Linked DNA regions of Saccharomyces cerevisiae S288C. The protein of the gene in region 2 binds, or shares a complex with, the protein of the main gene of each other region. Each region holds a gene or a part of one and is shown on either strand. Other genes may lie near its edges.

Region 1 (3,183 bases), on a different chromosome or scaffold from region 2:
TAAACAGAATCCATTACATGGCACCAAGCAATGAACCATGGGGTGAACATGAAATTGATTACATCCTATTTTATAAGATCAACGCTAAAGAAAACTTGACTGTCAACCCAAACGTCAATGAAGTTAGAGACTTCAAATGGGTTTCACCAAATGATTTGAAAACTATGTTTGCTGACCCAAGTTACAAGTTTACGCCTTGGTTTAAGATTATTTGCGAGAATTACTTATTCAACTGGTGGGAGCAATTAGATGACCTTTCTGAAGTGGAAAATGACAGGCAAATTCATAGAATGCTATAACAACGCGTCAATAATATAGGCTACATAAAAATCATAATAACTTTGTTATCATAGCAAAATGTGATATAAAACGTTTCATTTCACCTGAAAAATAGTAAAAATAGGCGACAAAAATCCTTAGTAATATGTAAACTTTATTTTCTTTATTTATTTACAGAACTCTGAATATACATTGATTGTTCACATTTTTTTTTTCTCTTCTCAATTTCCCTTGATTATATTCAAAAGGTTATTGGCCTCTTGAATGTTTCCCACTGATGGTCGACGTGCCCTTCTAGAGGTCAATGGTTTATAAATTGGTCTCTTATTGAAAAATTCTCTGGTCTTGTCATTTTGTGGTTCGAGTAATCTAGCGTGCATCGAAACAGAACCATTTTTCTCCATAGATGCCTCCAAGATCTCGAACAAGAACGTTTTCATTCTGATGAAATCTCCCATGGAGTTAAAGGAACTAGGTGGTGATTGGAAAAATACCACATCGGCCACAAACCCACCAATAGCTGCCAGCCATTTATTGTCGTTGTTCTCCTTAACAACGTTCAAGATTCTACCGGGTACTACAGTCCTTTGAATGACACCATTTGGTGAGTTTTTTAGCTTTCCTGGCAAGCTGTATGATAATCCACCTGTACCAATGATTTCAGTGTTAAATTTTTTATTCGTTTTTGTTTCCAACTTTTTGTTTAGAAACTTCACTACATAGTCTTCCAGCTTATTAGAATTCAATTTCAATTCATCCGGATGATTTTCCACCAGCCACTCTTTAAATTCATCTTGAAACGATCTAATTAGTGCTGTTATCTTCTTCAAACGCTTCTTCATAGCAGCAGGCGAAATATCTGTATCTCCTTTCATTTCTTTGAATAAGGACAATTTAGCATGAGACTCATCCTCAGGACGAGATATGTACTTGAAAAATGGATTTTGTCTGCCTATATTAGACACAATTGGTACTCCCATTTCTTGAAATCTTAGCCTATTCCATTGCGTACCGCCTCTAGGTTCGAATGTGGTAATTCTTTCCAACGTATCCAAATCGTTGTACACCAAATATCGAGATTTAATTTTCGAAGGAATAGCGGATTTCAACCCCCATTCTTGTCTGTATAGTGTCGATGGCTTAGTTTCGATGATTTGATGTGTTGGATGAAATTTTTTGCCAGTGTATGTCAATGGTTTATGATTGTTAGCTACTTGAGCTATTCTCGACCGTCCAAGCAACTCTGCCAATGTCATTTCGTTCAATTTTTTCTAAAATAAAGAAAAAGAAAAAGAAAAATGATCGAAACAGTCTCACCAAGGGTTGTAGCAAATGTCTGTATGATTTTTTTTCTTCATCACGGCACCTATTCGTATTGCTCCTTTAACTCTACATCTAAGTTCTTCATTCTTTGATTTCTCAAAACAAATATCACTGTCAACGTAAATATTACCCCGCGAGTTCTTTAACAATTTTAAGGGAAGGTTACTTAAGGTCATCTCTGAAGTAATGCCTTTATTTTATAACAAGGATTATTCATGATTATAAAAGATATCGGTAGTGTCAGTTAAAGGATATTTTAAGAAAAACCCCTTTGAGTGAAAGTATTACAAGAAAAAATGGCAGACTTGCCACAGAAGGTATCTAATTTAAGCATCAACAACAAAGAGAATGGTGGTGGTGGCGGCAAATCATCTTATGTCCCACCGCACTTGAGAAGTAGAGGAAAACCATCATTCGAAAGAAGTACCCCAAAACAGGAAGATAAGGTTACGGGTGGTGATTTTTTCAGACGTGCTGGAAGGCAAACTGGGAACAATGGCGGGTTTTTTGGCTTTTCTAAGGAAAGAAATGGAGGGACGAGTGCGAACTATAACCGCGGAGGCAGCTCAAATTACAAATCATCTGGAAATAGATGGGTAAATGGCAAGCATATACCGGGGCCTAAGAACGCGAAATTAGAAGCCGAACTGTTTGGTGTACACGACGATCCCGATTACCATTCATCTGGTATAAAGTTTGATAATTACGATAATATTCCCGTAGATGCATCTGGAAAAGATGTTCCTGAACCTATACTAGATTTTAGTTCTCCCCCTCTGGATGAGCTGTTAATGGAAAATATCAAACTTGCTAGTTTCACCAAACCTACTCCAGTACAAAAATATTCTATTCCAATAGTTACCAAAGGTAGGGATTTGATGGCATGCGCACAAACGGGCTCAGGTAAGACAGGTGGGTTTTTGTTTCCGCTCTTCACGGAGCTATTCAGGTCTGGGCCCTCTCCAGTACCCGAGAAAGCACAGAGCTTTTATTCTAGAAAGGGATATCCATCTGCTTTAGTACTTGCACCAACTAGAGAATTGGCTACCCAAATTTTTGAAGAAGCAAGAAAATTTACGTATAGATCTTGGGTTAGGCCATGCGTTGTTTATGGTGGCGCGCCAATCGGTAACCAGATGAGGGAGGTTGACCGCGGCTGTGACTTATTGGTGGCTACACCAGGGCGGCTGAATGACTTATTAGAACGCGGAAAAGTTTCTTTGGCTAATATCAAATACCTGGTATTGGATGAGGCTGATAGAATGCTAGATATGGGATTCGAACCCCAAATTCGCCATATAGTTGAAGAATGTGATATGCCCTCTGTGGAAAATAGACAGACCTTGATGTTTTCCGCCACATTCCCAGTAGATATCCAGCATTTGGCACGCGATTTCTTAGATAATTATATTTTTTTATCAGTAGGAAGAGTCGGTTCCACCTCAGAAAATATCACGCAAAGAATATTATATGTCGATGACATGGACAAAAAGTCTGCGTTGTTAGATTTACTGTCTGCAGAGCATAAGGGATTGACATTGATTTTTGTTGAAACGAAAAGAATGGCGGATCAACTCACAG
Region 2 (2,627 bases):
GCAAAAGTTTTCGGCCTTTTAGGTGCTGCATATAGCCATAACCTGTGTGATAACGTTTCTCCTCTCTCATCGTTTTTGATTGCCTTTAAAAATAGCAAAATTTTATTAGTGTACTTGGTGCAACTTTTAGAAGTTCTTGGGACGGTGATGACACCACCTTGGTTAGAAAATATGACTATGACGGCCGTGGGATCATTATCAATGATATTACACAGGTAATCCAGGGTGGATTTCTTGGAGTTAAAATTAATAAACTGCCAATCACTTGCGCTTCTACTAAAACTTATATTGGGGGACTTTGGTTTGATAATTGTATGGTCCAGATCAAAGGCATAAACGTTTAGACCATGCTCGTCGTGATCAATGGATTGTGGAAACTTGGGCGTGAACTTAATCAGAAATGGCAGGATTGTTAATTTGTGGGACATGGGCTTTCCTTCGGTTCAGTTTTCTATGTTATCCATCTGATTTTGGGATGATTTTACAGATTAAAATCGATTTAAAGCCATACGCAAAAGAGGGGAAACGAAAGAAACGCACAGAATTCATTCACATAGATGAAGGGAACAGAAAATGAGAATGTTATATGACAGATAAGCAGCATATTCAGGACATATATCCAGATATATATACATATAAGCTATTAACAAGGAGAAGAAACCAAAAAAAAAAAAAAAAGAAAACATCCTCAGATGATATCAGCTTTACCTACAGTTTCGTAATATTTACAGACGTCAGAGCCACTCAATTTCCTCGGAACAAAGATTTTAGACACTATAGAAACCTCATTTTCAAATCTTGTTGCATCAGCAATCGAATGAGGAAAGTTCACAACTACTAGCTTGTCACCGGTCTTGAAGTTCTCTTTGAAATATCTACCCAAAAGCATGACCAACATACCGGTCGGCAAATTGTAAGCGTACGTGTCACACCCGTATTTTTTGTAGTATTCATTTAATAAAGCCTCATATCTATCATCCCTCAAGGTTCTGTAGTAATCGATGACCTTGACTGGATCGACAAACTGCAGCTCATTTATATCATCGCCTTGTGATTTCTGCAGTACCTTTCTAGTTTCTTCAATGCTGGGTGATAAGGAAAACTTTATATCGACCTCACCTTGTGGGAAGATAGCCACACGTCTTTTCAACCCTTTAACCACATTTTCGAATTCTTCTTCTGATAATGTTGTCTTCGGTTTGTTCTTATCTAAAGACTGTACTGTCTTGACAAATATCACTGTACCGATAATAGCAACAAGGAAAATTTTCTTAAATCCTGGAGCATCTATTTTATCTGATTTGTTAGACCTTTTAGTTGAGCTATCAGTTGATGAGTATCGTGCTCTCAAGAGCAATGGTGAAAATAAGGGTAATTGCTTTTGAGGCAACCCACCGCACACCTTGAAACAATGTCGGCAGCTTGCTAGAACGCTTTTTCTCAGTGGTCGCAACATGTAGGTAGTCTATTTATCTGGGCTCGTTATGTATTAATCTTCCTATGGGGATTCATTCATTTTAGCTTTACCGGCAGTCCTTACAAACCGCTTTTTGAAATTAAATCGACAAACTGAGGAAGAAGAACGGAAAAACAGAAGAAAGCCAAAGGCAAAGAAGCGACCACATACACCTTTTTTTCGATCTAAACTAATCGCCCAAAATGTCGTTGGTCAAACTTGCGAATACGTGTGCTCATTTACAGAACTGCTCGAAAGTTAGAGTTGCCTTAACATCGATCCCATATACGAAATTGCAGCTACAGTTTGCGTATAACCTTTACCAACAAGGGTTCTTATCGTCTTTACAGAAGGGATCGACTATGGGACCAGACAAAGATTTTGTTGAAGTAACACCAGACAATATCTCTACTAGAAGGCTTTGGGTTGGATTGAAGTATAGAGATAACAAACCTGTCCTCAGCAGCTGCAAATTAATTTCCAAACCAAATTCAAGAATACACCTGCCAATGGAAGACATGAAGAAACTATGCTCTGGCGTAACTATTAGAAACATCAAACCACTACAACCAGGAGAACTGATTCTAGTTCGAGCTCATAACAACATTATGGACATTAATGAAGCCATATCCAAAAAGTTGGATGGAGAAGTACTATGCAGAGTAAAATGAATAGAACAATCACATATGACCGTATTTATACGTGTAATTAAAAAATATACGGACCATGTAAATAATAATATTATAAAATGCAGACAATGATGATGAGTATAGTACTACAGTAACGTCCTTCATTCATTACCTTTACTAGCAGTGATAAAAAGTTTTGAAAAAAAATGTGCTCCAGGGGAGGTTCGAACTCTCGACCTTCAGATTATGAGACTGACGCTCTTCCTACTGAGCTACTGAAGCTGTCTGTTATGGAGGATTCTAGCATTAAATGCTTTAATACTCAATAAAAGCAACAATGGAGAATAATTTATCAGCAACTAAATTTATAGACGAAGATCCTACGCCAAATCTTAGCTCCTTTATATTTAATATTGAAAAACATATGAATTTTAGGTTGAATCCTCAAAATGGAATTGATATTTCTACATAATAGTACTACGATTATTCTTCACTCTGTTTTATATGTGTCATTATGTTATTACATTATCAATCCTTGCATT
Region 3 (3,287 bases), on a different chromosome or scaffold from region 2:
AATCACTTCCCATTCAATTTCTTTAAAATGTTTCACAAAGGAATATGCATGCTTTGTAAATTCAGAAACTAGCAAAAACTCCTATAGTGACAAAATTATCAAAGAACTTAATCACACAGAGTTTTTTGAGTCTTCCACCTACCCCAAACAGCAGTTGAGAGTCATACACCACTCATTAAATGATAAGAAAATTCTATTGACAAAGGGCACGTACGATTACCCATTCACTTTTACCCTTCAAGCAAATACTTTCCCAGCAAGTTTCTCTTCCTTCTTTGGCAAGACCCATTTTCGAATAGAAAGCTTAACAACAATAATGAGAATACCAAGTAAACCTAAAAACTTACTCAAATTTTTGAAGAATGAAAGTTTTACAGATAAGATCATTTTAACAGAAGAAATTAAAGTTAAAAGAGTCCTGCCTTCAACGAGTATGCTTAAGTTTGAAACATTTCAATTAAGGTCATACAATACTGCAAGTGAGATCGTAGTATCGGTCATTGGAAACTCCAAGTTGATTGAAATTGGTATGCCTTTCCAAATGATATTATCAATTACCAAAACAGATTCTTCCATTGAATTACAGGAAGCTTCTTTGGCAGTTGCACAGAGAATGGCAATACCAAGTATTGATTTGAAGACCAAGAAAATACTACGAGAGCCATACATTAAAAAGTCCGAGTATTTACTAAGAACTGTAGAAAGCCAAAGTTTCGATTCCGACAAGACCATTTTCGGATTTTGCTTTGATGACGTTGTCATCCCAACCTATGCGGATGGTCTACCGAGCTGGTTTAAAACATTCTACTGTGAACCAAGTTCATTTTATCCCAATCATGCTGCCCTCAAAGTAACTCATTTGCTTTTGTTCAGAATAACCTATAGCAGGAATGAATTGGTGGAAGGGCTTGAAATGAAAAAAAATTATCGTATTACGGTGAATTTTCCAATTTTAGTTGGCGATAGTGATATTTCGACCAGCTCTTTGTTACCCAAATATGAAAAATTTGAAAATATTAGTGATCTACAAGATGAACCCCCACTATATTCTATGGTAGCAGGTGAGAATAGCTTATGAATGTTCGGTACCTCAGAACAACGCCTCTATTTTATCCTTTTTTTTTTTATTTGCATGATATACATATACTATTTTTTATTAGTTTCTTATTCTACTATGTATTTACGTAACAATAAATTTACAGGTCTCTCTTTTTGTAAGTATCTTGCACGCTGATATCTATAATACTACTTCACAAGTTGATCAGCTTCCGAGATAGACATTTTATGTATCAAGTCGCCATGTCCGTTCTCTACTGGCCGGTGTATATTATGATATTTCGACCGGTTCTAATACATAAGCACCGCCCACTCTGAGGAGAAGACATTTTTACAAGAATTACTAGCCATATTTTCCCTTGTCAAATTAGAGAAGGAAAAATTACTTGAAACATCCCGTGTTTGGGCACTAAAAGTATATCAATAGGAGCTGAAGAACACTACACTAGACTCTCTTGGCGTGAAGGCCTTATTATGTGAACTTTCGTAGGTTTGACTTTTACTACCAGTATGAAAAAGGTTAGAGTTTATTCAATCAAATGGAAAAGTTTTACAACTGAGCTAGTGATCTCCAAATGAGGTAGCAAGTAACAGTCGTATGTATCCCATACATTTATGTATCCCATATATTTCATTACATGGTGATGCTTTCTTTTATTCGCGGAGTAAAGTTCCTTAAAGTGAAAAAAAAAAAAAGACGAATTGACAAGACAATAATACAAGCACCACTAAAAGACCTATCGTTATTGTTGTCAAAGTAGACGGTAAACCATACAAGAAACAGATTTCATAGATCAATAGGTAAAGATGTTCAAGAGGCAATTATCGACTAGTGTTCGTTATCTACAGCATTATGATGAGTCGCTATTATCAAGGTACTATCCTGAAAGTCTTTTAAAATCCATAAAACTTGCTCAACAAACGATACCAGAAGATACTAAATTCAGAGTATCTCGTAACGTGGAATTCGCACCACCATATTTGGATGATTTTACCAAAATACATCCTTTTTGGGATTACAAACCAGGCATGCCCCATCTCCACGCTCAAGAGGAGAATAATAACTTCAGCATCTTTAGATGGGACCAGGTACAACAACCATTACCAGGCGAAGGTAACATTCTGCCTCCAGGAGTCAGCTTACCAAACGATGGTGGTCGGAAATCGAAAAGCGCCGATGTAGCTGCAGGGCTACACAAGCAAACCGGTGTAGATCCGGATTATATCACTAGAAAGTTGACTATGAAGCCGCTGGTGATGAAAAGAGTGTCAAATCAGACTGGGAAGGGTAAAATTGCGTCTTTCTATGCCTTGGTTGTCGTTGGTGACAAAAACGGTATGGTAGGTTTGGGAGAAGGTAAATCTCGTGAAGAAATGTCCAAAGCGATCTTTAAAGCTCATTGGGATGCGGTAAGGAACCTGAAGGAAATACCTAGGTATGAAAACAGAACTATTTATGGTGATATAGATTTTAGGTATCATGGTGTGAAACTACATTTAAGAAGTGCAAAACCAGGGTTTGGATTACGTGTAAACCATGTAATCTTTGAGATTTGTGAATGTGCAGGTATCAAAGATCTGAGTGGGAAAGTATATAAATCCAGAAACGATATGAATATAGCTAAAGGTACCATCGAGGCTTTCACGAAAGCTCAAAAGACATTGGATGAGGTTGCCCTGGGTAGAGGCAAAAAGCTTGTTGATGTCAGGAAAGTTTACTATTCAAGCTGAAATACTATGTACATACACACGCACCATTATCTCTCGTTTTACATAAGTAAATACAGCAATAATAATACCTGTAAATATCTCAACATACTCAATCAAATGAGCTGATAAGCATATTCAATTTTTCTTCATAGCAATATTTTTTTCTGTCCAAGTTTTATTTTTTTTCCATAATTTCTGATTTACTACCATTGAAAATTATAAAAGGAAAAATATTACGCGCTACCATTTAATAAGTAGAAACAACTAAGTTCTCGAATGAGATGTTTGCACTGATACAGCGAGCCAAAAAATAACCAAATGACTGCTACTAGCGACAAAGTACTAAAGATTCAATTGCGCTCAGCAAGCGCTACTGTACCTACCAAAGGTTCTGCCACTGCCGCGGGATACGACATTTATGCATCTCAGGATATTACCATTCCGGCTATGGGTCAAGGTATGGTTTCCACCGACATATCGTTCACCGTACCTGTTGGTACCTACGGTCGTATTGCGCCAAG

What was found.
Region 1: MRPS8 (region 2) and MRP51 share a complex: the UniProt entries of both Saccharomyces cerevisiae proteins name them as parts of the mitochondrial small ribosomal subunit.
Region 3: MRPS8 (region 2) and MRPS5 share a complex: the UniProt entries of both Saccharomyces cerevisiae proteins name them as parts of the mitochondrial small ribosomal subunit.

The regions. Positions count from the first base shown.
Region 1 is NC_001148.4:324,980-328,162, reverse strand, and holds MRP51 (mitochondrial 37S ribosomal protein bS1m MRP51), read right to left. Parts: upstream 1,536-3,183; coding exon 501-1,535; downstream 1-500. Other genes in the region: isopentenyl-diphosphate delta-isomerase IDI1, read left to right, coding at 1-299; putative DEAD-box ATP-dependent RNA helicase DBP1, read left to right, coding at 1,899-3,183. UniProt on the Saccharomyces cerevisiae protein: Component of the mitochondrial ribosome (mitoribosome), a dedicated translation machinery responsible for the synthesis of mitochondrial genome-encoded proteins, including at least some of the essential transmembrane subunits of the mitochondrial respiratory chain.
Region 2 is NC_001145.3:570,589-573,215, forward strand, and holds MRPS8 (mitochondrial 37S ribosomal protein uS8m MRPS8), read left to right. Parts: upstream 1-1,659; coding exon 1,660-2,127; downstream 2,128-2,627. Other genes in the region: TPP1 (polynucleotide 3'-phosphatase), read right to left, coding at 1-428; AIM36 (Aim36p), read right to left, coding at 689-1,456; YMR158C-A (uncharacterized protein), read right to left, coding at 2,606-2,627. UniProt on the Saccharomyces cerevisiae protein: Component of the mitochondrial ribosome (mitoribosome), a dedicated translation machinery responsible for the synthesis of mitochondrial genome-encoded proteins, including at least some of the essential transmembrane subunits of the mitochondrial respiratory chain.
Region 3 is NC_001134.8:719,527-722,813, forward strand, and holds MRPS5 (mitochondrial 37S ribosomal protein uS5m MRPS5), read left to right. Parts: upstream 1-1,863; coding exon 1,864-2,787; downstream 2,788-3,287. Other genes in the region: SPO23 (Spo23p), read left to right, coding at 1-1,078; DUT1 (bifunctional dITP/dUTP diphosphatase), read left to right, coding at 3,085-3,287. UniProt on the Saccharomyces cerevisiae protein: Component of the mitochondrial ribosome (mitoribosome), a dedicated translation machinery responsible for the synthesis of mitochondrial genome-encoded proteins, including at least some of the essential transmembrane subunits of the mitochondrial respiratory chain.